7 linked regions of the Bombyx mori genome follow. The protein of the gene in region 1 binds, or shares a complex with, the protein of each later gene. Links are inferred from orthologs where the notes say so. Each region holds a gene or a part of one and is shown in the gene's direction. Other genes may lie near its edges.

Evidence for each region.
Region 2: serine/arginine repetitive matrix protein 1 (region 1) and cysteine-rich PDZ-binding protein share a complex: the UniProt entries of both Homo sapiens proteins name them as parts of the minor spliceosome. The link is inferred for Bombyx mori from reciprocal best matches to the Homo sapiens genes SRRM1 and CRIPT.
Region 3: serine/arginine repetitive matrix protein 1 (region 1) and protein CWC15 homolog share a complex: the UniProt entries of both Homo sapiens proteins name them as parts of the minor spliceosome. The link is inferred for Bombyx mori from reciprocal best matches to the Homo sapiens genes SRRM1 and CWC15.
Region 4: serine/arginine repetitive matrix protein 1 (region 1) and puff-specific protein Bx42 share a complex: the UniProt entries of both Homo sapiens proteins name them as parts of the minor spliceosome. The link is inferred for Bombyx mori from reciprocal best matches to the Homo sapiens genes SRRM1 and SNW1.
Region 5: serine/arginine repetitive matrix protein 1 (region 1) and E3 ubiquitin-protein ligase RNF113A share a complex: the UniProt entries of both Homo sapiens proteins name them as parts of the minor spliceosome. The link is inferred for Bombyx mori from reciprocal best matches to the Homo sapiens genes SRRM1 and RNF113A.
Region 6: serine/arginine repetitive matrix protein 1 (region 1) and U5 small nuclear ribonucleoprotein 40 kDa protein share a complex: the UniProt entries of both Homo sapiens proteins name them as parts of the minor spliceosome. The link is inferred for Bombyx mori from reciprocal best matches to the Homo sapiens genes SRRM1 and SNRNP40.
Region 7: serine/arginine repetitive matrix protein 1 (region 1) and small nuclear ribonucleoprotein Sm D3 share a complex: the UniProt entries of both Homo sapiens proteins name them as parts of the minor spliceosome. The link is inferred for Bombyx mori from reciprocal best matches to the Homo sapiens genes SRRM1 and SNRPD3.

What each region holds. Positions count from the first base shown.
Region 1 is NC_085128.1:8,261,578-8,265,077, forward strand, and holds part of serine/arginine repetitive matrix protein 1, read left to right. Parts: intron 1-2,829; coding exon 2,830-3,022; intron 3,023-3,500. UniProt on the Homo sapiens protein: Part of pre- and post-splicing multiprotein mRNP complexes. As a component of the minor spliceosome, involved in the splicing of U12-type introns in pre-mRNAs. Involved in numerous pre-mRNA processing events.
Region 2 is NC_085130.1:5,681,330-5,685,299, reverse strand, and holds cysteine-rich PDZ-binding protein, read left to right. Parts: upstream 1-1,240; 5' UTR 1,241-1,502; coding exon 1,503-1,675; intron 1,676-3,261; coding exon 3,262-3,391; 3' UTR 3,392-3,470; downstream 3,471-3,970. Other genes in the region: drebrin-like protein, read left to right, coding at 1-361. UniProt on the Homo sapiens protein: As a component of the minor spliceosome, involved in the splicing of U12-type introns in pre-mRNAs. Involved in the cytoskeletal anchoring of DLG4 in excitatory synapses.
Region 3 is NC_085110.1:8,228,614-8,232,277, reverse strand, and holds the end of protein CWC15 homolog, read left to right. Parts: intron 1-194; coding exon 195-474; intron 475-690; coding exon 691-795; intron 796-2,815; coding exon 2,816-2,953; 3' UTR 2,954-3,164; downstream 3,165-3,664. UniProt on the Homo sapiens protein: Involved in pre-mRNA splicing as component of the spliceosome. Component of the PRP19-CDC5L complex that forms an integral part of the spliceosome and is required for activating pre-mRNA splicing.
Region 4 is NC_085130.1:3,035,501-3,039,000, forward strand, and holds part of puff-specific protein Bx42, read left to right. Parts: intron 1-100; coding exon 101-245; intron 246-795; coding exon 796-929; intron 930-1,506; coding exon 1,507-1,648; intron 1,649-2,758; coding exon 2,759-2,855; intron 2,856-3,500. UniProt on the Homo sapiens protein: Involved in pre-mRNA splicing as component of the spliceosome. As a component of the minor spliceosome, involved in the splicing of U12-type introns in pre-mRNAs.
Region 5 is NC_085108.1:7,585,938-7,590,018, forward strand, and holds the start of E3 ubiquitin-protein ligase RNF113A, read left to right. Parts: upstream 1-1,281; 5' UTR 1,282-1,531; coding exon 1,532-1,625; intron 1,626-2,895; coding exon 2,896-3,047; intron 3,048-3,598; coding exon 3,599-3,751; intron 3,752-4,081. UniProt on the Homo sapiens protein: Required for pre-mRNA splicing as component of the spliceosome. As a component of the minor spliceosome, involved in the splicing of U12-type introns in pre-mRNAs. E3 ubiquitin-protein ligase that catalyzes the transfer of ubiquitin onto target proteins.
Region 6 is NC_085109.1:1,115,028-1,119,030, forward strand, and holds the start of U5 small nuclear ribonucleoprotein 40 kDa protein, read left to right. Parts: upstream 1-1,203; 5' UTR 1,204-1,433; coding exon 1,434-1,550; intron 1,551-1,861; coding exon 1,862-1,988; intron 1,989-2,549; coding exon 2,550-2,753; intron 2,754-3,074; coding exon 3,075-3,317; exon of another isoform or gene 3,318-3,879; coding exon 3,880-4,003. UniProt on the Homo sapiens protein: Required for pre-mRNA splicing as component of the activated spliceosome. Component of the U5 small nuclear ribonucleoprotein (snRNP) complex and the U4/U6-U5 tri-snRNP complex, building blocks of the spliceosome.
Region 7 is NC_085122.1:328,611-332,627, reverse strand, and holds small nuclear ribonucleoprotein Sm D3, read left to right. Parts: upstream 1-1,217; 5' UTR 1,218-1,405; coding exon 1,406-1,715; intron 1,716-2,826; coding exon 2,827-2,909; 3' UTR 2,910-3,835; downstream 3,836-4,017. UniProt on the Homo sapiens protein: Plays a role in pre-mRNA splicing as a core component of the spliceosomal U1, U2, U4 and U5 small nuclear ribonucleoproteins (snRNPs), the building blocks of the spliceosome.

The sequences.
Region 1 (3,500 bases):
CTTCAATCGCTCGCCAACTCTAGCAACGTGCTCCGACTTCGCCTTGGCAATTACCTTCTTGTAGGACCTGGAAGCGGCGTTATATTTCCGCCTTTCCCCTGAGATGTTAGGATCCCGACGTCTCCTGGCATTATCCCATGCCACGTATGCGGACCGCTTGAGGTGTGCAGCATCCCTGCTGGCATTGTTATACCAGGGTCTGCTGCGACCCCCAACGGGCACTTCAGAGGAGGGAATAAACAATTCCATCCCCTGGAGCACCACGTCTTTAAGTCGGTCCGCACAGACGTCAGGATCAGCAGAGGAAAAGCAGAACCGCTCCCATGGGTAGGATGCGTAAAATTCACGCAATCCATCCCAATCTGCTGACATATACCGCCAAACTCTTCGATACCCGGTCGTCGTTCGACGATCAGGACGAGAGAGTGGTACGGCAGCACGAATAAGGCAGTGATCAGACGATCCAAGTGGAGCGTCGACCACCACACTGTATCCGGCCGGATCTGTGGTCAGCAGAAGGTCCAACAAAGAAGGCTCGTGCCCCTCGATATCTGGGACACGGGTGGGCTGTGTCACCAGCTGGGAGAAGCCGTAGGCCAAGGCGAAATCGTAGGCAGTCCGACCCGGGAGGTCAGTGGTTCTGGACCCCAACCACTCTTGGTGGTGAACGTTAAAGTCTCCAAGAACCACCACCTCCGCAGATGGGTACTGCTCAAGCACGCGGTTAGTCCCCTCTTGCACATGCTCAAACAGAGCTGAACCTGCATCACTGCTGTGGGACCTGTACAGGCACGCGTAGATTCGGCTACGGCCCCCGTGATCTACGCGCAGCCACAAGAGGGACAGGTCCCGTTGTTCGAGGCCCCGAAGACGGCGACAACAGACATCAGCCCGGACGAATACGCATACCCCGGCTTTACGCAGGAAGTTGTGCTCCAATACGTAGCCGGGATACTCAAGGTATGAGGTATCATCCGGAGCAGATATCTGCGTCTCCGTTAAAAAAAGCAGGGCAGGCTGCGCCGTCTCAAGGTGGTGGTGTACGGCGTCAAGGTTGCTATGTAGGCCCCTGACATTGCTGAAATCCACATTAAATGTGGAATGGGGAACCGCCTGTGAAACCCTTTTCTTTTTTTTTGGCGACTTCATAGTTGTAAAATTTTCGGAGAGTAGGATTAGGAGAGGTAGGATGTTGGAGGTGAGATCGAGGCAACACCTGAATGAAGCGCGGAACATAGTACGTGCTCGACCACGGATTGCGTGAGAGACTGACGCAGGGCATGGAAGGGCCCCCAGTCCACTCTGCGTGCGATCGCCGGGATCCACTCCGGTCTCCGACTCCGGCACGACGACCGCACGACAGGATTTTACACCGGTTGGCGGGACAGCTTCCCGGGGCGGAGTTTAGTAGAGACACCCGGGTTCAGGTCCCCTACTGACCGGCGGGCGGCAGCGGGTACCGTTTCACTGGGTCTCCCTATACCCCCGTCAAACAATCACGCCCCGCGAGTTCGCACGCACGTCTGCTCCGCAAGTTCCAGGCGTCACCAAGACTCACCCCCAACAAGGAAGGGGAAAAGGAAGGGATAGAACTGGCTCTCCAACCCACACGCCGGAACACAGCTAGGCTATTTGGCGGCGGACTCTAGTTGGAGGGTGGTCGCCAGCCAGTCGGACTAGGTCCTACCACCGGTTATGTTTTCGGCTCCCGTTTAGCACCACCCAGGGGTCACTTGTAGGGAATCGCGGGTTAAACCTACGGAAGCGGGAAGCACCAACCCCCACCTTACCCCAACTTACCCTTATGTCTCAGAGTAAGTGGTGGCATTCACGTTCTGATGTCTACGAACTCTGGTATACGTTTTATTAACCCATTTATACAGTTAATAAATAGTGAAATCTCATTAAACGAAAACGTGATTCGCGACAATCATTTTATGATATTGCTTGCAGTGGGTCGCTAAAAAGTTTTACTGTATACCCCCATCCTTGTTACGAGTAGTTTTCACCTTAAGCTTTTAATAATGGCAAGGAATAGACACTAGTAGAATTATTTTGTCCGTGCAGTTTGGGTTATAAAACATAGCCCGGCTAGGGCGGTGAGCATGTAGCGCGGCGCAACGCCATTATCGATAAAAGCAAATGAGTCATCGAAGGCAGGTACACGGCGGCGGGGTGGTATACGAAGGGTGGTGAGACATGGTTATGTTAAGAGTCATTTGTACTTACCTGAAAATTATAGTACATTATGTCGAAGAGAAATGTGTTTTTTATGCATTCGTTCTCGGAATTTCTTGAATGACACAATGGCTACTCCTTTGTTTTGTATCAAAACGGCAGAATTTATTCAAAATAATATATGAACGTGTTGTTATCAACAATGTGTTAAAGATTTTCACTGAAATAAGAATAGATCCCGAAAAGTTACAAAGTGTTAATTTCTGCCGTGTTCGTTAACTTGCTGCTCGGATATGTGGTGTAAGTGTTCGATTAGTGATTTTTTCTTTCATTTTTGTCACTAACCCACAAAATGACAAAACTAAATACACTATCGATAACGCTTATAGACAACAATAATGCGCATCACTATGCCCGTCCATAAGGCTCGTGAGTGGAAGAGAGAGCGAAATATTCGCTTCACCGCTCCGACTTTTTATGACCCAAACTGCACGGACAAAATAATTATACTATAGGATGTATACAACAACTAGTGGTTTGATGTCTGACATAAAATAATTTTTTTCGTTAATAAACATTCCCCATTTACATTCAGCCTTGCAACTGTTGTGTGATTCTACTCAATTAATGTTAAAATAATAATAATTTTAGCTCCAAGTGTAGCAGAGAACGGTAAGTCACCAGAAAAGAATGAAGAAGAGGTTAAAGAAGAACCAGTTCAGAATAATTCTCCAACTGTCAATGAACCTGTCAATGATGAAAACAAGGAACCAACCATAACACAGAACGTTGAAGAGAAATCTGAAGTTGAAGGTCAGAAATCTAGATCTGTGTCACCTGCTAAGTAAGTTTACCTGTCAAAAATTTCATATACTATAATCATACATTAATATCAAAACTCAACACAAATATGGTGTCAGTTCATACTATTATTGCTTATTTATGCTGCAAACATTCTCGCTTATTTGATAGAAGCATAGAGTGGCCATCAATAATGAAGAAATTGAGATTACATACTTATTTTTGTTGCACTAGCTAGCTGGCTAGACTTGATGCATTTACTGTTAACTCTGATGGTTACTCACCTAATATTGCATGGAAATGAGCAACGCCAGGGGTAAAATAAAAAATCTTTGCCGCTTAACTTCTTTCGATCATAATTTGATGTATATGTCATAAGCACCCGGGAAACTCTGAAGGGGAGCTCATTCCAGACTAAGATGGGGCATGGGGAAAATAATCTGAGGTGGATAATGAGCTTGTTAATCTAAGCTACAAAAAACGTATCTACCGTAGGCTACATAGATACTAGATCCGTTTTA
Region 2 (3,970 bases), on another chromosome or scaffold:
GGACGTAGAGCATAAAGAACAGACTTATCAAGAGGATGCGAATTTCATTGGACAGGAACAAAATTACGAAGCAACAGAAATGCAATACCAACCTGAATACCAAAATAATTACGAGGAGCCGACTTACGCAAACGAACAATATGAAAATTATGAACAATATCAGCAATATGCTGACCCCAACGCGCAATATAGCGAAGAACAATACAACAACATAGCCGAAGTCAACTACCAACCCGAGCAGAATTACGAACAAAGCTATGAGAACACAGCGGAGGCTCCACAAGAACAATATTACCCAGAGTCAAATGACACAAATCCAAGTGATGCTCCAACGAAAATGGCGGAGGAACATCAGAGTTAGCAATTCGTATGTTTTTATTTCTTGCAACATTCCGTTACAACGCTTTTGATAGAGTAACGTGCCACTAATATAGATTAGCTTTCGGCGTCGGATAAATAAACTATGAAAGTTGAATGTGTTGAATAATAAAATCTATTGAAATGTTTATCGAGAAACGAGTTAATAAATCGCTCAATACTTATATTGCAATTGGATATGATGTTTTATTTGATGTTTTTTTTATCTACAGGGAAAACGTGATTATTTTGTTTTTTTCTTCAACTTAAGCCCCATGATCTCGATTTTGTCTTGACGGTTTCTAAAACAATATACAAAGTACTTAAGGGTCAGGGTGCGCACAGAAGTCGTGTAGGACTATGCGATTTATAAGTGGCACGAGTTGGCTTCGAACCTATTTGGACTGCCAAGCAGTTCTTGTTTGCATGAGACCGACGTTACACTATTTAATTTGAAGAAAATACAGCACGAAACATTAAGGACTATTTGGCGGGCACTCAAGCTGTTACTTTTTAATTTAATGTCTCTTCAGGCTTAAAATTTACATATTAATCGATTAGAATTCGTAAAAGTACATTGAAATATTAACCGTAGTCTTAGTGAAAAATAGGCCGTGGCATAACGGGCCCTTCCAAAAAGTCCGTGGAAAATAGGAAGAATAAGTCCGTCTTAGTAAACCAACTGTCCACCCATTTGATTGCAAGGTATTTTCATCTCATCTAAGTCCTGACCGTCTTTTATATTAATTCATTGAATTTCATTTTCTTTATTCAATTTAATTCCAGAACCAATTCAATTTGTATTATGTATTGTTTTAGTTCCACTTTTAATACCACAGACACGGAACCGCACTTCGGTACAAGTTTTGACTGTATGGGCTTCATTCCTGTTGCCTATCCAAATGACAATTCAAAAGAAAACTATTAGTAACAACATCAACTTAAATAAATTTTATTTCTAACAAATATTAAGTGTATTAACTATGATTTCTTAATAAAACTAGCTGTTCACTAGCAGAGCATATTTTAATATTTGATAAGTAATATTTAATTAATATAACCTACATATTATTCAGTCAAAACAACAATTTAATAAAATTTCGTACTAATACAAGCTCGTTAGGTTAGTAAGAAACAGAACAAAAATGGTTTGTGAGAAGTGCGAAAAGAAATTGGGCAGAGTAATAACGCCGGACCCTTGGAAGGCTGGAGCTAGGAATACCGTGGAGTCCGGCGGACGTGTTGTTGGAGAAAACAAAGCATTAACCGCCAAAAAAGGACGATTTAATCCGTACACTTCCACATTTCAACAGTGCAAGTGAGTAATCCTGATGTTTAAAAACCAATTTTGCCTCATACATTCTTAATAATACTTCCCCAATTTTACCTCATACATTCTTAATAATACTTCCCCAATTTTAACTCATACATTCTTAATAATACTTCCCCAATTTTAACTCATACATTCTTAATAATACTTCTCCAATTTTAACTCATACATTCTTAATAGTACTTCCCCAATTTTGCCTCATACATTCTTAATAATACTTCCCCAATTTTACCTCATACATTCTTAATAATACTTCCCCAATTTTACCTCATACATTCTTAATAATACTTCCCCAATTTTAACTCATACATTCTTAATAATACTTCTCCAATTTTAACTCATACATTCTTAATAGTACTTCCCCAATTTTGCCTCATACATTCTTAATAATACTTCCCCAATTTTGCCTCATACATTCTTAATAATACTTCCCCAATTTTGCCTCATACATTCTTAATAATACTTCCCCAATTTTACCTCATACATTCTTAATAATACTTCCCCAATTTTAACTCATACATTCTTAATAATACTTCTCCAATTTTAACTCATACATTCTTAATAGTACTTCCCCAATTTTGCCTCATACATTCTTAATAATACTTCCCCAATTTTGCCTCATACATTCTTAATAATACTTCCCCAATTTTACCTCATACATTCTTAATAATACTTCCCCAATTTTAACTCATACATTCTTAATAATACTTCTCCAATTTTAACTCATACATTCTTAATAATACTTCCCCAATTTTGCCTCATATATTCATAATAATACTTCCTAATCCCGAACGCTTCAGACAAACACACTAAATACTGCTGGACTTTTAGTTACCAATATGTAAAATAACAATACAATAAAAGTTAGTTGTTACTTGTTTGAAGGATGTTTTTTATATTCATTATCCCTTCTTCTCTTGAGTGATTTATTTAGTACACTACATGGGTAGATTAATAGGGCCATAGATGATTGTAATGTGTACGTTGTTTTTATATGAAGAGATGCAGTTGAAGATTTATTCGAATTTAAAAATGGCTCTCCTTTGAAAATGGGACAAATTTATGGTTGCAATAACTAGGTTTGTGGAACCTATTTCAGTACATTACACCATACCACCTCCACCTCCTCGTGTCGTTTTCCTCATTACTGAACTCCCCCGCTGCATCAGTTTCTTCCGTACGATTTCCCTCCATCTGCTGCGATCCTTAGCTTCATGAAGGACATTGTGGAAGTTGATGTTCAGAGAAGATTGTATTTAGTCCGACCATCTCGTGGTACTGCATCCTCTTGGACGTTTGCCATCTTCCTTTCCTGTCAGCATCAGCTGTTCTAGATTGTGACCCTCTTTACGGGCAATATGTCCGAAGAATTCCAGCACCCAACGAAGGCATATATTGGAAAGACTAGTTATGATATTAAGCTCTCTCAGAATAGTCACGTTGGTGAGAAAGGCATTCCATGGAATCTGTAACGTTTTTCTCCAGCTCCACATTTCAAAGGCGTCTATTAGGTCTAACCATACCTCCAGTAAAATGTATTAAAAGTTTTTAAAATATATTCTTTTATTTTTCAGAATCTGCAGAACGAAAGTACACCAGGTCGGATCACATTACTGCCAAGCTTGTGCATACAAAAAGGGTATATGTGCCATGTGTGGAAAGAAGATTCTAGACACTAAGAATTACAGACAGAGCTCAACTTAGTTTATTGTTATGTTATCCTAGTTCATAAGAAACATTACCTAAATAAGTTCTAAAAGAAAAAATATAGTGTATTTGTAAAGCAATGCTTTATATGCCTTGGACTATTTTAAGATAATAATAAAGATACTGGAAATTTCCTCACGGATGGTAAAGTGTGATTGCTTCGAGGAATAAACAGATAGGATTGTAATGCCAACCTATGAACACCCACAATTAGCGGTACTACAGATAATCAAGACTTGAATCCAAGAAATCGGTTTCAAAAATGAAATGAGAATAATTCTAACACTCATGAATGATGACAAATTATAATGATTGTTACAAGTTGTCATCTGTCCTATCTATGTTCTAAATAATCTGAATAATTCTGAATATATGTTTATTTATTTATTTATAACTTTATATACTAAACGGTATAAAGGACTTAATGCCATAGGCATTCTCTAACAGTCTACCTTAGGGGGGTGCAGAGATGAACCTTGGTAGGTGTAGTGTGAAGGTGATATTACTTAAACATATGTGTATATGAGTCGTCTATTATCAAAGGTGGCAATCTGTGCATTTGGACAAAATATTTTT
Region 3 (3,664 bases), on another chromosome or scaffold:
CCCGCGTGGTGGTAAGTGCTTAACGGACCTCATAAAAAGCCATCTTGAGACAAGGTAGAGTACTTGAATTATTGTTTTAGAAAATACGCTACCCTTCAAAACCACAATGTATAACTCGTTCAAAGCATAAATACCACGTTTGTAATGCACCAAAATGTAAAGAAAAAGTCAAATATTAAAATCTATTTTAATAGGGAATCAGGTCAAGGGACATCTGAGGAATTACGCTCTCGTGATTTTCGTAAGGAGTTGGATGATAGAGAAAAAGATGTTAAAACTACGACTACAAAACGTACAAGTGAACCACAAGCAAAAAGAACTAAGGTTGATCAAGTTCCTGCAGCAAGTCTTGATGCTGATGATCCTCTTGAAGGCGATTCCACTGACTCTGATGATTCAGATGATGATACTGCTGCATTGCTAGCAGAATTAAACAGAATTAAGAAGGAAAGGGCCATTGAACAAGCTAAAAAAGTAAGATATATCTTAGATACTAGAGTTAGATACTATACTATAAGACTATTTTTGTACTGATGTACACAAAGTATGTTTAAATTAAATTTTACAATATATATTTTTTTTAATTTGTCTAACTTTAGTGTACTTTAGTGTATTTTGATACCCAAACTAAATAAAATTCAAATAACAAATAAACCTTGTTGCACAAATCAATTTTGTTTTACCTTATAGGAAGCTGAAAAGAAACAAGAAGAGGAAAGAATTAGAATGGAGAACATATTATCGGGTAATCCTTTACTCAACTACTCCGCTGCAGGACAGAAGAATGACATGAAGGTAATTAAAAACATTAAAATGAATTTTGTTTTAACTCCTGATAACTGTTTGGTGATTGAACTGAACTGCAGATGTCATTGATGTTGTATTTATCAATGTTGAAGTAATTGTGCCCTAAAAGATAAAGACTCCCGGTGCATTTGTATAAAGCTATGTGACTGTGCCGGTGCTCTCATCCTGCAGACAGGTACCAATGGTAATGAAATATATACTTAACGTAAATTGACAAATGATTTCCATCATGAACAAATAGTGTTTAATAAAGATCGAACCCACCAAAATTATAATTTGCTTAATGAATGGCAGTAGAATGGGGTAGTAATGTGTTTTCGTTTGGTATAAAATCTGATATTTAGAACTCATGTCTCATAGTGGGTGACAACATTTAAGATGTCGATTTCTATGGGCCATGAACTTAATTCACCCATCAAAGGAATAAAAAAAGTGTAGATGACCTTTAGTTTCTGCAGTGGGTAGGTATTCATTTGTTGTAGTACAAGTTCTTCATTCTGGCTAGTCAGTTTCATGATACTACATTATTAAATTACACATTGACCAGGATTATCTTGATAAATAATTTAAATGCATCTTTTAATTGGCATTTGTTGTTTTGCTGGTGTTTTGTTTTTGTTATTTTGTTATTCCATAGTAACAATACTATCTGTGTTTTACTTTTTTTATGGCATATTTATGTGTTTGTATGTTTATGTATGTGTTGTATGTTTCTGTTCTGGTACACTATGGTACTTTTCAAATCTGTTTCAAGATATTATTTTTCATTCTTCCAAGTATGTCTAGCATTGTCTTTTTGGTGTTAAGTGGTTATAAACTTGGGTCTCACTTAGATTATAATTATTCAGAGCTTTTGTTGTGTATTGGTATTTTAGATATCCTTGCCATATGATAATAATATGATGTGTATTGAAACATGTGCAAATAATATTCAATCAGTATCTGTTTTGATATCTCATTGGTGAAGTATACTGACAACTACCAGATAACCCTTTTATACCAGGTTGGCCATAAGTTTGTTCACCTATCTATGCTATAAAAATAACTATTAAAACGTATTGTTGCTATTGTTTTCGGTTTACTTGTATTTGAATCAATATCATTGATACTCCACAGGGAATACTTTAATAATGCACAAAAAAATTATTTTTCCTTTCATTATGCATATGTAGCGGCAGATATTGAGGATTCAAGACTATTAAATAATTTCATTTAGACTTTGGTTGATTCATTATTTTACATTTTCGGTTCTATAAACACTGGTTGCTGTTTTGACACCACAGGGACTGTGATTTTGTACACCCACTAATAAATACCATACAAAAATGCAAAAGTAATTGAAAGTGATTTTAAGAACATTAACATAATCTGCTCAAGCATTGGATGAATCCGGTATTGGAACGCCCAGAGGCACCACTCAGCACAACTCGTCATTAGGCCTCTACATGATATCATTAGAGAGAGACTGACTGAGTTATGAGAGTCACAACCTTCATCTATGAGGGTCGATTAAGAAGAATTTAAGAAGTCGTCGTGGCCTAAAGGATAACTCATTCGGTGCATTCATGTTGAGCGATGCACCGGTGTTCGAATCCCAGGCGGGTACCAATTTTTCTAATGAAATACGTACTCAATAAATATTCTCGATTGACTTCCACGGTGAAGGAATAACATCGTGTAATAAAAATCAAACCTGCAAATTTTAATTTGCGTAACGACTTGTGGTAGGATCTCTTGTGAGTACGCGCGGGTAGGTACCATCCCCTAGCCTATTTCTGCCGTGAAGCAGTAATGCATTCCGGTTTGAAGGGCGGGGCAGCCGTTGTAACTATACTTGAGACCTGAGAACTTATATCTCAAGGTGGGTGGCGCATTTACGTCGTAGATGTCTATGGGCTGCAATAACAACTTAACACCAGGTGGGCTGTGAGCTCGTACACCCATTTATGCAAATAAAAAAAAAGGACAATCGTAATATTATATCTATATTTTTTTTGGGTTGTTCCAGGTAAAAAGAAGATGGGATGATGACGTTGTTTTCAAAAATTGCGCTCGTTCTGAACCGGAAAAGAAACCTAATACTTTTATAAATGACTCATTAAGATCAGAGTTCCATAAGAAATTTATGGAAAAGTACGTGAAATAGTAAATCATTATTGATATTGTAATTCTAAATTTAAAGTTGTTAAAAGCGATTCTATACCTTATTGTAAGCGGAATAGTGATAACGAAGTGGAAATGCTACTATGGATATTACAAACACGTAAAGAAAAGATTGACGAAAACCAATATAATTTTAGTAAATATTATGAAAAAAATGTCATTTTGTTGTTTTGAATAAATTATATGAAAACAAATAGTATTTTATAAAGTTTATTTTCAAGTTAATGTCACGTTACTGATAAAAAGTAATGTTTGTTTCCTCAACAACAGATAGAGGTCAGTTCATTAGCATAATGTGTCTAATTTACTCATATAACAACGAACATTGCTTTCGGGTTCGAAATTTGAGACTCAACTTCTGAGTTTCAGTGGTAAAAATCTTGGTAGTTGGGGTATCCAAACTAAATTAGGGAAGGTATTAAAGAGATTAATTTACAAAAAATTCAAACTTACTGCCCCGATTTGATAATCAATACGCCACCCGTTAAAGTACATAACTGCATTGTTAATGGTAGTAATAAATAATTATTAAATTAACTTATTAACATTCGGAGTTCGGACTGACCAGACTGACGTGTCCGGCGAAGTTGAATGTTTTTATTATTGCGGCGTTGTGAGTGAGGCGTGAGAGGGGAGGCAGTGGTAAGTGCGGAGCAGGCGGCGGCGGCCTACCTTGAGTGGGCAGGTCCACAGC
Region 4 (3,500 bases), on another chromosome or scaffold:
AATCATCACATAATATCTAGTGATGATGGTAAGACTATTTAAAAGTTGATAAGCAATTACAAGAATCCTTGGAACATAATATTACCTATATATTAATTAGGTATTCGGGCACCAGAAGAGGATGTGGAACAGCCCGAGATAGATGAGAGCGGTCTCAGTGTGGCGGAGAGGGACAAGCTGAGGGCTGAGAGGCACAAAGAGAGGCAACGCGAAAGAAACATGGCTCGAGCAGCACCGGACAAAAGGTGAGTGTGTTTTTCTTCATAGTTCTCGTATATGAGTAATTGAGATTGATTTAGTATTGTAGATCGGGACAGCTTGTCTCGTTATAGGAACTAGTGGTCCCGCAGTAGTCGAAATTCGACTATAATTAATTTAAGTTTGAATATTATTAAGGTTCTATTATCAAAGACTATTTATTATACTATAATCACAGATTTCGCCAAGACTACACTATAGACAAATATTAATAAATACAAACAATATTTAATCTGTTCTCAATTTGACCACAGATTATAAGCAATAAAAGTTTGACAATAAACAAATAGTATGCATGCCTGTGTGTGTCAAATACATGGTATGGTGGTGTCATATTTTTTTATTCATTTAATGTATATTTTATGCATAATTTAAAAAAATCTTAAGATTCTTTTTTTTTATAATAAAATATTTTTTTCTTACTCTATTTTTAATTGAAATTTATTAAAATTTATTTTCTATTTTTTTGGTTGGATTTTCTATAAACGCGTATTTTGTTAGTTTTTTTTTTAAACTATTATATATCGTTAATTCCAGGTCCAAATTCGCGAAAGAGCGGGAACGCGACATCTCGGAGCAGATCGCGCTGGGGCTGCCGGCCAAGACCAACCAGGGCGGCGAGGCCATGTTCGACCAGCGACTCTTCAACAACAGCAAGGGAATTGACAGCGGTAAGGCTAGAGGCCTCACAGTTTGTCTTCTTCTTTGTCTCCACCACATCCCCCCAGGTGGGGTCGGCGTAGCGAATGTTCGGTAGGCAGCGGCTTGGCTCTGCCCCTGGCATTGCTGACCTCCATGGGCGACGGTAACCACTCACCATCAGGTGGGCCGTATGCTCGTCTGCCTACAAGAGCAATAAAAAAATTTTTATTCTATTCCATTCTCCTCTATTAACCATCATCTCAACACAACCCTTTTTTTTTCTTCTTTTTATATTGCTTAGATGGGTGATCGTAACGTGGACGGTGGAATCAGTAAAGCAGTCATGCATGCCTGTTTAAAGGTTAGGACAGACGCAATGCTATTGAGACATCGACCTCATGTCTCAAGGTCGATGGTCGGCATCTAGTTGGACCACTCCTACTCATCTGGGACAAAAAAAGTCATATCAAATACGCATGTTTTTTTATTTATTACTTATGAACTAGTGAACGTTCTCACGGCTCACCTGGTGAACATGAAAAAAAAACATAGTAACGGGTATACTTTTTGCCACACGAAATTCAACCTTAAATTTATTTAAACAAGGTTACGGAGAGGACGACGCGTACAACGTGTACGACAAGCCGTGGCGGAACCAGGACAACGTCGGGGCGCACATCTACAGGCCCAGCCGGCACGCCGACCGGGACTCCTACGGGGACCTCGAGGCCGTCGCCAACACGCGCAGGTGACCCTGACCGCAGGGAAACTCTTAATTTAATATTCCCGAAAATTGTGTGCACTGAATATGTGTGGGTATATGTGCTTGGTTGGCATGCGCCACAAGCCTTTTTACGGATTTTGGGTCGGATTTAGAGTTCTGGAGGCCTCAGGGCTTAGGAGGAGCGGAGGCCTCCCTAGCCCCAAAATTTTAGTGTTAACGTCAAGTAAAACAACGAAAAAAGCAATGTCGAAGGAGAAGAAAAGATTTACTAGTGTTTACTTGTCGGAATTGGAAAGATTTTTTTTCCAAAGTCTATTGTGGGGGCCCCGGTTGCTCTCACCTAAATCCGGCCCTGAACGGATTCTAAAATGCGAAGTGTTATTTGTCTCAGTTGTGAGATTAAAATATAATAATAATCAAAAACGTAGGAAAAAAACTAATTTAAATGAAATATAAAATCAGACTGCGTTTAAAATATTTATTTAAAAAGCTAAAACAATCTTATCATTTCAGTTAGGATGGTTTTTTTATTACTCCTACTTTATTACTCTATATTTTTAGTACTCAGACAACCATGTATGTCTTGATAGCAGTGCCTTCTCCATTATTATTTTCAAATGATTCCTGCTCTCCCCGCGAATGGGACTGATTTTAGGATGCCTTGTCTATAGACAAGGCAGCTGCATACAATCTTACCCAGTTCTGCAGTGAAACATTGTGCATTCCAATGTCTATTGATATTTAACGGCCGTTTGGTGTAGTGGTAAGTGACATGGTCACTACACAAGGCGGTCGCGGGTTCGAATCCCGCCAAGGGAAGATATTTGTATGATAAATATAAATGTCTTTTCCAGGGTTATGGATGTATATTAAATATATGTACGTGTATAATAAAAATCTTACATTTATTTCCGTTATCTGGTACCTGTAGCACAAGCTCTTTACGAACTTAGCACGGGACCAGTTAACGTGGCGTGATTTTTATTAAATTTTTTTTATTGATATAACACCGGATAGACCGATAATCCAATAAAAAAATTAAAACTGGCAAATCTGTTGTATTACATAGATGTTTGAGATGGACATTGTGTAGTGTCAGTGGCATATGATATGAGATGTCATGTTTGTTGACAGATTCGTGGCGGACAAAGAGTTCGCCGGCACCAGCAGCTCCAACACCCGCTCTGGACCGGTGCAGTTTGAGAAGGATGCTCCAAGCAGAGACGAATCCGTGAGTTCCCATGGGCTTAATATGAACAGTTGTGATTGAATTAGGAAAAGGGTTTATAATGGTTACCGTGCCTGATGTTTTTATATGGGTGAAGAACAGTCTCAATATGTTGAAGTCGGGACATGTCTACTATTGTTTTTGATGATGAAGGCATTGGGACATTGGTTTGCTGTAATCTCCTATGAGTAGATAGCAATGTCCTGCCTATTTTTCCTGTGCAGTAGACCATGAGATCTCAGTAAGATAATCACTTAAATCCTAGATAAGCATTAGTGATCAACGATGATTTAATAAAAATATCAACAAACTTTATAATTACAGCAGTGGCTACCAAACTTTTTTTTGTCCACTGTCCTCTTTGAGAATAAATTATTTTATAGCGCCCCTATTTTTTCACCTACTTTAAAAACTACTAAAGCGAGAAAAACTACTACAGCGCCCACGAGGGGGCGTTATCGCACACTTTGGGAAACGATGAATTACAGTATTGCTTCAGTATAAATCCAATCCCTCTTACCAACGCTGACACACACAAACTACCAGAGTTGTTTTTAAATTAATTTTCTCAATGCTGTAGCTTATTTTTCATAGCTGTTTTTTTTAATTTTTTTTTTTATTGCTTAAATATGTGGACGAGCTCACAGC
Region 5 (4,081 bases), on another chromosome or scaffold:
CTCTTATCATACTACATAATTAGTGATCATTCTTAAATGTTTTTTGTGGCAGCCATTAATGGTGTATACAAAATAATTTATCTATGCGAGCACACAATACCTATACACAATTATTATTTTTACAGTTTGCATTTTATTACACGATGTCATTCTTTTATTGTGTTTCATAAATGTGCACTTCTCATAACGGTCATCTAAGAAATACAAAACGGGGCCGCGTTGCAGAATACGGCAATATTAAGCCTGACAAGTGACAAGCAATCAGTGAGCGCTGTAACCTGTGACGTTTTAATACAAGGATCGATAAAACTAGACTGAGTTTTTTGTGCATTCCTTAAAATATCAAGTCGTCGTGCCCTAAAGGATAAATCGTCCGGTGCATTCGTGTTGAGCGATGCACCGGTGTTCGAATCCCGCAGGCGGGTACCAATTTTTCTAATGAAATACGTACTCAACAAATGTTCACGATTGTCTTCCACGGGGAAGGAATAACATCGTGTATTAAAAATCAAACCCACAAAATTATAATTTGCGTAATCACTGGTGGTAGAACCTCTCGTGAGTCCGCAAGGGCAGATACCACCACCCTGCCTATTTCCGCCGTGAAGCAGTAATGCGTTTCGGTTCGAAGCGTGGGGTAGCCGTTGTAACTATACTGAGACCTTAGAACTTATATCTCAAGATGGGTGGCGCATTTACGTTGTAGATGTCTATGGGCTCCAGTAACCACTGAACATCAGGTGCGCTGTGAGCTCGTCCATCCATCTAAGCAATAAAAAAAAAATTACACCCTAAACCTTTTAGCATTCAATATTTCCAGTTTGTATGGTAAATTATGATTCCACTTCCACTTTATTTCAAGGCAGCTAATGACTTTATTAATTTATCTATTTATTATTACTATAAAAGAGACATGAACATCGTGATAAGAATAGTGTTTATTATGTCCATTACAATGTTTGAGTTTTAACTCTGGTTTCAACTTTTAACAGTAGTAGTAGAAAGGGCTTAAGTGTGAAAAAAAAAAGAATTCCTCAATGTGGCTGTGTGGCTGCTCGGGTCCCTTCCAAATTGCCTAGAAGCCTCAATAAGTCTCCGCTAATTTACTGACAGGCTATTTTATTTCATCTTATACAACATGTACGGCTTTCTCTTATTTAACCTTATTATTCCATATGCTAATTTAAGTTTTGATTTAACTTCAGGCATTGCTATAAATGTTTAAGCTATGTTGTATGGGCAGTATTCCCTCCATTCAATAGACAAATCATAGTTTAAAAAAACAACTATCCGTCAAAATCAATCACATGTCAATGTTAAAAATGAGCATTATTTTGATCATTGCCAATATTATCATGTTGTGAAATGCAAAAATTAATTAAAAACCCTATAAATACCGACAATACTTGAAGGTCCTAAAGTGAAATACAGTACTTTTATTTAGTATTATTGTGTCCTCATTAATGATTATGTAGATATTACTCTAATATCGTAGTAAGCACACACTAGGTTGAATAAACAATCGTTCAAAATGTCAGACGCCGAAGTGGAAGTACTCAGTACTTTTAAAAAACGTAATATTAAGAATAGGGGTGGCAGAAAACGTAAAACTTCCAGTTCAGAAGGTAATATTGATCGTTAAGTTATTAAATTATTCTCCAAACGAAAGACATCTAAGAATAGTACATTAAAACTATCTCATCGCTTCTTCATATCCTCTTTCTCACTGTTCCCAGACCCCCGTATTATAAGTGCTTTTATTAAGTGTATAACTACTAACTATAAAATTATAATTATATGTAGCGCATTATTCTCTGTACATAATCTTTATTATAATATGTAAGTTTGTAGTAACATTAATTTTGTGTTAGTCCCAGGCACCATTAATATAGCCAAAATTGGATACTTTTTATAATATAAAGTGTGTTTAAATAGCTCGACAATGTTCCATATGTAGCCATAACACGACACTGGCAGAAATTGCTGGCAGAAACTATCGGCAGATTACCATTATAAAAAAAATATATCGACGCTTGAAAGGCAAAAGTGACTAAGCGACAATAACTGCTTTGCACATAAATGATAGGCAATAACCATATTCGATCCGCAAAAAATATATATTTCTAGGTCTATTAAAATTATTTCAATCCTACAGCTACTAGCTAGTTTCTACTACAACTGGATTCGTTAAAATAAATTTTGTTTTCATGTATTTCAACTTTAAATTAGTCTACCGTAAAGTTCACGCATTGTCGCTTAGTCACGTTTGCCTTTCAAGTGTCGATATATATTTTATCATATGAGGCCGTCAGCGCAAAAGCAGCCTAAGCGTACTATAGTTATTATGGAGCAATGAGGCTTTAGTTTTCATGAATTTGAATTTGAGTTGGCAAAAAAAACAATATGCGCTAAAATAATGATTACAAAGCCATCTGCTTTCTATGGGTGAAACTATGGATAGGCCGGTTTTGCATAAAAATTTATTATATATTAAATAAATTGCAATATACATGATTATAAGCATGAAAAATTGTGGGTTAGGCCACTTTTGCGCTGACAGCCTCATATATACTTGATATTTTTTTTTTTTATAAATATAAATATTTACTAACAATCACTCCACGTTAACTGGTCCCGTGCTAAGTTCGTAAAGAACTTGTGTTACAAGTACCAGATAACGGAAATAAATATAATATTTTTATTATACACATATATATATATATATATATATATATTTAATATACACCCATAACCCTGGAAAGACATTTATATTTATCATACAAATATCTTCCCTTGGCGGGATTCGAACCTGCGACCCCCTTGTGTAGTGACCATGTCACTTACCACTACACCAGACGGCTGCTTAATATATAATTTAATATAGTAACGTTTCAGAGAAAAACAGCTCGGACTCTGATGAGCAACAAGTAGTTCTACCAACGAAAAGGGTGAACAAACCAAATCCAAACATACAGTCTACAGGAGGTCCGAAGAAATCCAAAATTGATGTAATTGAAGATAATGATGATAGTAATGATGAAGAAAAGGTATAGTAACATTAACAGCTCATCATCATCATCAACTCACTTGGATATCATCAGATTTGATAATCTGATCTATAATGAGATCTGCACCTTTGAAGCACCAGATATAAGATATCATAAACAGGCTGTTGGTCCATCTTGTAGAAGGCCTACCCACACTTCAAATCTTCACATACTTCATACATATTTAGATATATAATAGCCACTTGAGAACTTTTGGTTCCAACAGCCTGCTTGCTGCCATTTCAGCCTTTCGGGTTGTCTTTTTTTATTCCTTAAGTTCTTAAGTGGTTACAGGAGCCCATAGACATCTACAAAGTAAATGCCGCCATGCATCTTGAGATATTTGTTAGTGTCTCAGTTATATCTCCACTGAAATCAATATTATCAACAATTAGAGCAGTTTATCTTTACTTAAATCTGGCACACATCTTTTTATCTCTTTAATCTTTTTACACGTCATCTTTATGTTGAAGTCTTGTCTTCTGTATTGAACATAAAAAAAAACCGTTTTAAGATCCATTTAGATCAACATAAGCTTACAATTCTTTCAGACTTCTCAAAGGACAACACTATCGGTTCAACAACAGAGAGAGAATGCAACAGCTACCTATGAATTAGACACAGAAAAGGATAGAGATGCCCAAGCCATCTTTGAGAAGGCTCAGAAGATCAATGAAGAGTTGCACGGACAAGCAGATGATAAGGTATCCATTTCTTCTTCTTCTTCTTCTTCTTTGTCGTTTCCTCATTACTGAGGATCGTGACCACCTTGGTCCAGTTTTTGCACCAGCTTCCTCCAATGTTGCCTGAGGGAGAATGCGGGAGGGACAGCGTAACCGCTCTAATGTTAAAGAGCCTAGGCTCGGATGGTACCAAGATTTTACACTCCATTTGCCAGAAAATATGGCGTACTGGCCAGTGGCCTGAAGACTGGACGGAATCAATGTTAATTCCTCTCCATAAAAAAGGCTCCACGCGCAAATGTGAGAACTACAGGTATCCATTTAACAGTATTGAAATCGCACACTTCGTGG
Region 6 (4,003 bases), on another chromosome or scaffold:
GCTCCGGTAACCACTTAACATCAGGTGGGCTGTGAGCTCGTCCACCAATCTAAGCAATAAAAAAAAAAAAATGCGTTCTCGTCTCTTTTAAAAGTTCATTACACAAACAAAGCGATCGGGGCTACACGTGAAAAAATTGTAACTTAAACAAATGATTTATAGCCGTCGTGACCTAAAGGATATGACGTTTGGTGCATTCGTATGTAGCGATGTAACGATGTTCGAATTGCGCAGGCAAGTGCCAATTTTTCTAATGAAATACGTACATATCAACTAAACTGACTTCCACGGTAAAGGAATAACATCGTGTAGTAAGAACAAAGCCCGCAAAATTATAATTTGCATAATTACTGATGGTAGGACGTCTTGTGAGTTTGCACGGATAGGTAGCACCACCCTGCCTATTTCTGCCATAAAGCAGTAATACGTTTCATTTCGAAGGCTGGGACAACCATTGAATTTTTGAGGAGGCAGTCTCCTCCCGGTGATGGTCACGGGGCCTCCCCCGGGCCAACTCCCTCACCTGAGGGGGTTGAGGCTGCGCCGCACGCTACCTACCATCACTCTAGCGCGCTGGCACAAGGAGGACGGGACAACACGTCAGCGACTACGGCCTGCAATGCGGTCCGCATTGTCGTCGTCACTATCGTCGCCGAACATACTGTGGAAGAGCAACGCGGTCGGAGGTGTATCGCGTTCTGACCCATCAGGCTGGTTTTGGCCAAGCAGAGTATCCCAGAACACCAGCGGCATCGCCCGGGCGGCCAGGTAGGGCCACCGTACCGCGGAGACCAGCGTCATTGGTCATCGACTACCGTCTCGACGACCCGTCGGTCAGGGGTCCTCGGAGGGGCGCCGCGTGTCTGGTTATAGTGTTGACCGCGGGAACCCCCCCTACATTGTCCGGATTCTGAGCCCGGACGGAGATCGGACGTTGGGTGTAAATGTGCAAGGGAGTCGTTTAGTGCGGTAGGGCCCTAAAACTCCTTGGGCCCGCGGTCTGCTCCCAAAACCTGCAGATCGTAAAGTTCCACATATCTCACGCCCTCTTAGGCGCGGGGACCTCTTAGAAGGATCGGCCCCGGGCCCGAAAAAAAACCATTGTACTTTAAAAACTGGGACATTAGAATTCAAATCTCAAGGTGCATGGCGGCATTTACATTGTAGATGACTATGGGCTCTAGTAAACACTTTAAGTTCTTCATTTTGAATGACTCATTATCTCATCTTCTCATCTGAATAGGTATACAAAAAAAAAACTTTTTAGAAGGTAGCTTTGTCTTTTGTTACAAAGAATTTGGCGATATTGGCTATTTTCCTTTTGCCTATACAATTGACAAATGAAACAAGCTAAACAGTCCTTATACCATTTTTAAGGTTAGTATTTCTGTTTGTAGCTATAAAAACAAATAGGTAAATAAACATCTTAAAAAATGCCAGATATAGAAACTAAAAGAAAAGCAGAGGATGTGTCTCTTGTACCCTCCAAGCGAGTACGGCATGAGATCTCAGTAGTCGGCACCAGAGAAAAGGCAGTTGTTACTTCATCTGTGAGTATTGTTTTCAATAAAGTTTACTTATTTTCTCAATAGTACGGTCTATAAAAGCTAAGAACTCTAACGCCACGGTGAAAGCATCAAGAGATCATAATTATAATTATTAGAAATGGAACATAACATCTAAAATAAACTTTTAGAAAAACACAATCTGTACTTAGGTAATCATGATTGATATTTGTTAAAATTTAAGGTAATACGAATTTTAGTCGGCTTTTACTTTAAGATTTATTTTTCAACATTTGTAGTGATCAACAAGATTCCAAGATTCCTGTGTTTTGTATTTTATATTCTTGTCGTTCTAGGTTCCACGAACATCAAACTTGTATGCGCCAATTATGTTGTTGGAAGGACACCAAGGAGAAATTTTCACAGGCAAATTTCATCCTGAAGGCAAACATTTGGCTTCTGCAGGCTTTGACAGACAAATATGTAAGTAACAAAATCATGACAAAGCTTTTGAATTGGCAAAGTGTTTCTAAAATTCACACTCTAATAATATACTACTATCAAAACGTTAATGAAGAATTGACACATTTGATAACACAAATTATAAGATTACAGTAGGTAGGTTTTAAATTTAATTGAAAAGAGTGAACAAGGTAAAATCTGACCTAGTGTATAAGTGATTATTGGAGACCATAGACATTATATTACAGCGTCTTAAATTTTCTCTGAAGTCCAAATCCATTTCAGTTTGATTTAATATGCATTATTAAGAATGACTGCCAGTACCAATATCCCAGGCATGGGCCACACTGTACTGGGGTTTTAGTGACACGAGCCCTATAATGTAGGGAACAATATGATACAATACTCAAAATGATAGCTGATATAAACTGTTTAGCTTAAGCCACCATTAATATAAAAAAATACAAAATAAATGTTTATACCATTGAAAATTTCCACCAATGTCAGGGTCATGTTGACAACTTATAAGCTGTACAAGTCCAACTTAGTAATATTATGATTTTTGATTTCTTATTTTCACAGTAATATGGAATGTGTATGGTCAATGCGAGAATGTGATGGTGATGAAAGGTCACACGGGAGCAATAATGCAGCTTTGCTTCTCACCTGATGGTTCACATTTGTACACTGGAGCTACGGACAATACTGTAGCAGTATGGGACGTACCCACCGGGACTAGAATCAAGAAGTTAAAGGGTCACGCTAACTTTGTGAACTCTGTTTCAGGTATGTTTCATAGTTTGAGTTTTGACACACAATGGTTTTCATGCTAGTGCTTTTTAGTAGTACAAATACACAACAGTAACTTAATTAAACATTACTTTGCACTCTCAGAGCCTTAAAGTGATTGGATCCAAATAAAGTGGGATTGACCTAAAATTGAAACTATAATCCGTAACCATGGTTTGAAACCAGATAACATCAATCTAAAATCTCAATGCCTGTGGATACAATAGAACTGTAAATTCATTCATGGCATCCATTAAAAAATTGGTTTAGACAACGTAACAATCTATTCTAACTTTCTCGTGTTATCTCTATATCCAGGAGCAAGAAGAGGTCCAGAACTCTTAGTTTCAGCTTCAGATGATAACACCATAAAATTATGGGATGCAAGGAAAAGGAATCCAGTTGCATCGTTTGACAGTTCATATCCAGTCACAAGTGTACTCTTCAATGATACAGCTGAAAAAATTTTATCCAGCGGTGTGGACAATGTCATCAAAATGTGGGATATAAGGAATAATCAGATTTCCTTGAAAATAAAAGGACATACAGACACGGTTACAGGTTGGTAATTCTTTATTGATTCTGATTAATTAGATTTTTATTAGGTGATAATACTGCAACCAGAAATTAAATTAAAATATTGATACAGTTTATCTAGAGTGGAGTGAGGGCAATATGATGACAGTAATGACTTCAGTCTATTAGTTAACTACTAAAATACTGATTACCATACAATGTATTTAACAAATATTGATCTTATGAGGAAATGAGAATGGATTGATTGGTATGCAGTACAGTAGTAGTAGTTGCATACATATGTATTTCTCTTTATAATCCCTGTTGTTACTTGTTGACGGGTGTATTGTAAACTTCTTCACCCATTCTGCCTTCGGTAGCCCAAACTGGTATTAGGTAATTTTAGAGAAATGTAACAGCTATTATTAGAATGTCTCTAGCCTTATAAGTAGTAATAATTCATGACTAAGACTACTTGTTTAGTTTACTTGTAGATCGTGAAGTCATCTACCCAGGTGCGGCAATAAATATGTGAATAGAAATCATATGAGTTTGATACATTTAATGACTGGCAATGTCTAACTTGTGTTGCAATACTCGTTTCCAGGATTATCATTGTCATGGGATGGTGCATATCTCCTGTCCAATTCAATGGATAATACACTCCGTATTTGGGACGTTAGACCGTTTGCACCAACAGAACGCTGTGTCAAATTAATGTCTGGCCACCA
Region 7 (4,017 bases), on another chromosome or scaffold:
TCTTATTCATCAAGATGACATTCCACCGCTCCGCTGGCCACTTGGAGTTATACAAGAGGTGTATCCAGGTGCCGATAACATTATACGCGTTGCTTTGGTAAAAACGAAATCTGGATTTCTTAAACGTCCAGTTGTAAAATTATATCCGCTACCGCTAGAATAAATTAGAGTACCGCATGTCATCAACCGCTTCAACTCTACTCGTAAACATTCATGATGGCTTATTATTAATTAAAATTTGTTTCTTTTCAAATAACTTCCCGCTATTTAAGCTTTATGCTTCCTATCTTAGTATCTTTATATATTTGTTGAAAGTCCTGCGAACTTTCAAGGCGGGCAGGATGGTCACGCGGATTTAGTAATGGGATGCTAATGAATTATTGGGATGGCGCCACCTTTGGAGTTTGTCAGTAACTAATTACCGCGACTACCCAAAGCGTGGTTCTACCCGATCGATCACGCTTTACCGCTAGCTGCCTAGATGGCGGCACTTGTATATTGTGTGGTGCTTGAGCTTACGAAAAGCTACGTGAGCTTCGTCACCCCCTCCCGCCGCCCGCGTGCTTCCATCGCCGACGCCCGCACGACAGTCACTGGCAAGATCTACAGGTGAGTGCAAGTTCTTTTAATTTATTGCCATTTTATTGCTGCTTCGTGTAATCATTCGCCCGCCCGCTCGCTTATGTGTATTTAATTTATATCTTTAGTTTGATTACTAGCTTTTGTTTACCGCTATATAGTTTTACCGCTCCGCTAATTATAAGTGACAAACATTTGTCACATACCGCTTAGGACGGCTATTTACACGCCTTTCTACAACCCCGCTTTATATGCTCCCGCCGCAGGAGGGCTATTTACACGCCCCCTTGCTACCCCAAGCATAAAGCCTAAGCACCTAGCTTTTTTTACAAATGAAACTAGGTCTATTAGGCTATGTACAGTGAAATGTAATTTATTTAGAAAAATGGTTGGAATTAACTAAGATTACATTTAACTTTTTGCAAAATCTCAATAGTTATACCCTGCGATGCTCTTGCATTTTCAAACCGAAAGGTAGTACTACTTTACGGCAGGAATAGGTAGGGTAGTGTTGTCTGCCTCTGTGGACTCGCAGACATCCTACCATTCCTACCACCAGTAAAGTTGATTTTCACAATGCTAAGGGAATTAAAAATCATAATGGATTTTTGGTAATATGGGTTATGTTGTCTTTGTCTGTCAATGAATGAATAAAAATGTCTATTGTCTATGCACGGAACTCGCCGCCATATTACATTAGATGTCTATGGATTTGAAGCGTCTAATTTTTTTGAAATATTCTTTCCCATTTTTATCGTAAATAATCTAAGAAATAATACTGAATTATTGTCCTTTATCGTACGTTTTTCTTAACTAAAACGTAAACATGTCTATCGGTGTGCCTATTAAAGTACTTCACGAGGCGGAAGGTCATGTAGTGACTTGTGAAACAAATACCGGTGAAGTTTATAGAGGGAAATTAATTGAAGCTGAGGATAATATGAATTGCCAAATGACTCTCGTAACAGTCACATACAGAGATGGCCGAGTTGCACAGCTCGAGAATGTGTACATCCGTGGTTCCAAGATCAGATTTTTAATATTACCGGACATGTTGAAGAACGCGCCAATGTTCAAAAGACAAGGGAATAAACCTACTGCAGGACGAGGGAAGAGTGCGATACTGCGAGCCCAAGGTATTGAACAATATAAAAATAGTGTGTATGTGATTTGTTTATCGAGCTAGGTATCCTAAATGTTCTCTCGCATCACATACGTAGTGATTGTGTTCATTATCAACAAGACAACATACGAGTGTTAATATATGAATGAGTGCTGTCTGACTTGCAGTCTAATTACATCTAGCACTGAAATTGTGAATATGCATTGTTCTTAATTTCGTTTAATTCAAAGACTTAAAAAAGAATAAACATCTTTAGCTTAGAACAACCCATTTCTTTAGGCTTGTTATAAATTAGACTTGAGTGAAGTCTATTTAACAATTACTGCACTATATAACCAAATTATTAAACGAAAATTTCTAAGTAGAAAACGTATGCAAGTATGAAAGATAAGCACATTTAATTACAATCAATAAATAGCCTTCATTAAAATTAGTACAAATGCATTGAATACATAGTGATCAATTGGGTCAAATGAGCAAAAAATAGGTAGTTTGAAGCTTTGATTTTTTAAATGTCTTGTTTGTTTATATCCTGTATAGATATTTTTTGTCACAGTTTTTTAATAGTAATTGAGAATATTTTACAATTTTTCATTCTTGAGTGCTTATATAGACATACAATGTCAAATTTGCAATTTTAAGTTTTGTAATATCAAATCAGTATTTTGTTCCAATGTTAATTGTTTCTAATCATTCAACTATATGTTATTGACAATTTTACTTTGGGTGGTTAAAGAAAATATGTGAATGATGAGACCATGTCAAGTACCTAATGCACACAATCTCACACATCTAAAGTAAAACCTATTTTACATAATGTTATGCAAACTAATAACTGTATCTATTACATTTGTGAAAACCCATTCTTGTGTATTTAAATAATTACGGCAAATTTCTGTTGCTAAACAGGAATGTGAATTGATTTGACGGGCTGGACAGTAACTACAATACATTTGAGCGATCAAATATATGTATCTCTTCATACTCATCTCAAGTATCATGCCAACCAGCATCCTTATTTTGATGTTTGTGGGCCACAGTAAATCATTAATCAAGTGGGTTGTAAGCTTACTCACACATCTAGAGGAATCAAGAAGTAAAATACAAATCTTTGAAATTTTCAGCTGCTGGTCGAGGACGAGCAGGTGGAAGAGGTGGGGGCCACCGTGGAGGCTGGCAAGGTGGGTCAGGACCATCTCGACGCTAGCGTTAAGATATTTTTTAGATAGCTTAAGTTGTACTTGTCTTATATTTCAATTGTCAAGGAATTATTTCATTATCATTCTTATATATTGATATATCTAAGTGAGAAAAATACAAATTTTGGAAATAGAACAACTGTTTGTTCAAAGATTATTATTATGTTCTCAAATGTAACAATAAGGTCCTGTTCCAGATTTTCTGTTTTTTTATTTTGGTCACCCTTCAATCTGCTTTACACATCTTAGGTCTCATGGACCATTTGATCAAATAGACACTACACACTGATGCTACCCTATGGTGACTTATTGTGACTCCCAATCAATACAATGTTTAATCTCTATGTTCTATCCTTATATCAGTCCCAATAATCTAGAAATCTTGTCCATATGATGGGTAATAGTTCAATCTTGTTTTGGCTTGAGGAAATATCTATGTGTGGTTTATGCGGGGGTGACTATTGTAATTAAATATAAAAAGTTATTATAAACTGCCTTGTACAAACCAAACTTAACCAATGGCCGAGTTTTGACAATGTTTTATCCATATAATTTTGAATTTTTTTGCACTGTAACTGGAGCCTATAGACTTTATGAAGGCCTGCACCTACCATGAGGTTTGAGATCAAAGTCCCAGTTGTACTGTTTGGGATAAATGCTGTCTTAATGGGCAAATTGGAATGCTTCGCAGCATAAAACCTGCAACAATCATGCATGTTTGTTAAATGTGTGTAACTCGGCATCTTATCCTTTAGGACACGACAACCTCTTATGCAAAATATTTTTAATTTGAATGTTTTATGTTCGAATTTAGATTAGTTACAAACAGTGTAACAAGTTTACTGAGACTGTCAGCAGATATGTGATAGGATGTGTCGTTGTGGGTGTGAATATCAAAAGATTGAAAACAAATAAAAAACAATTTGGATAATAACTAGTGTTTTTATTTATGAGACACGCAGTGTCAACTAACTATAATTATTATTAGTCAAATTCCACTGGCCACTACTGCTTCTGAGATAGTATAATAATAGAAGTCATGACGGCTTCACTGTACAGACGCACAGGACAGTGGTGTCTAACCATACAAGCTCACACTGCACATCAGCACCTCAG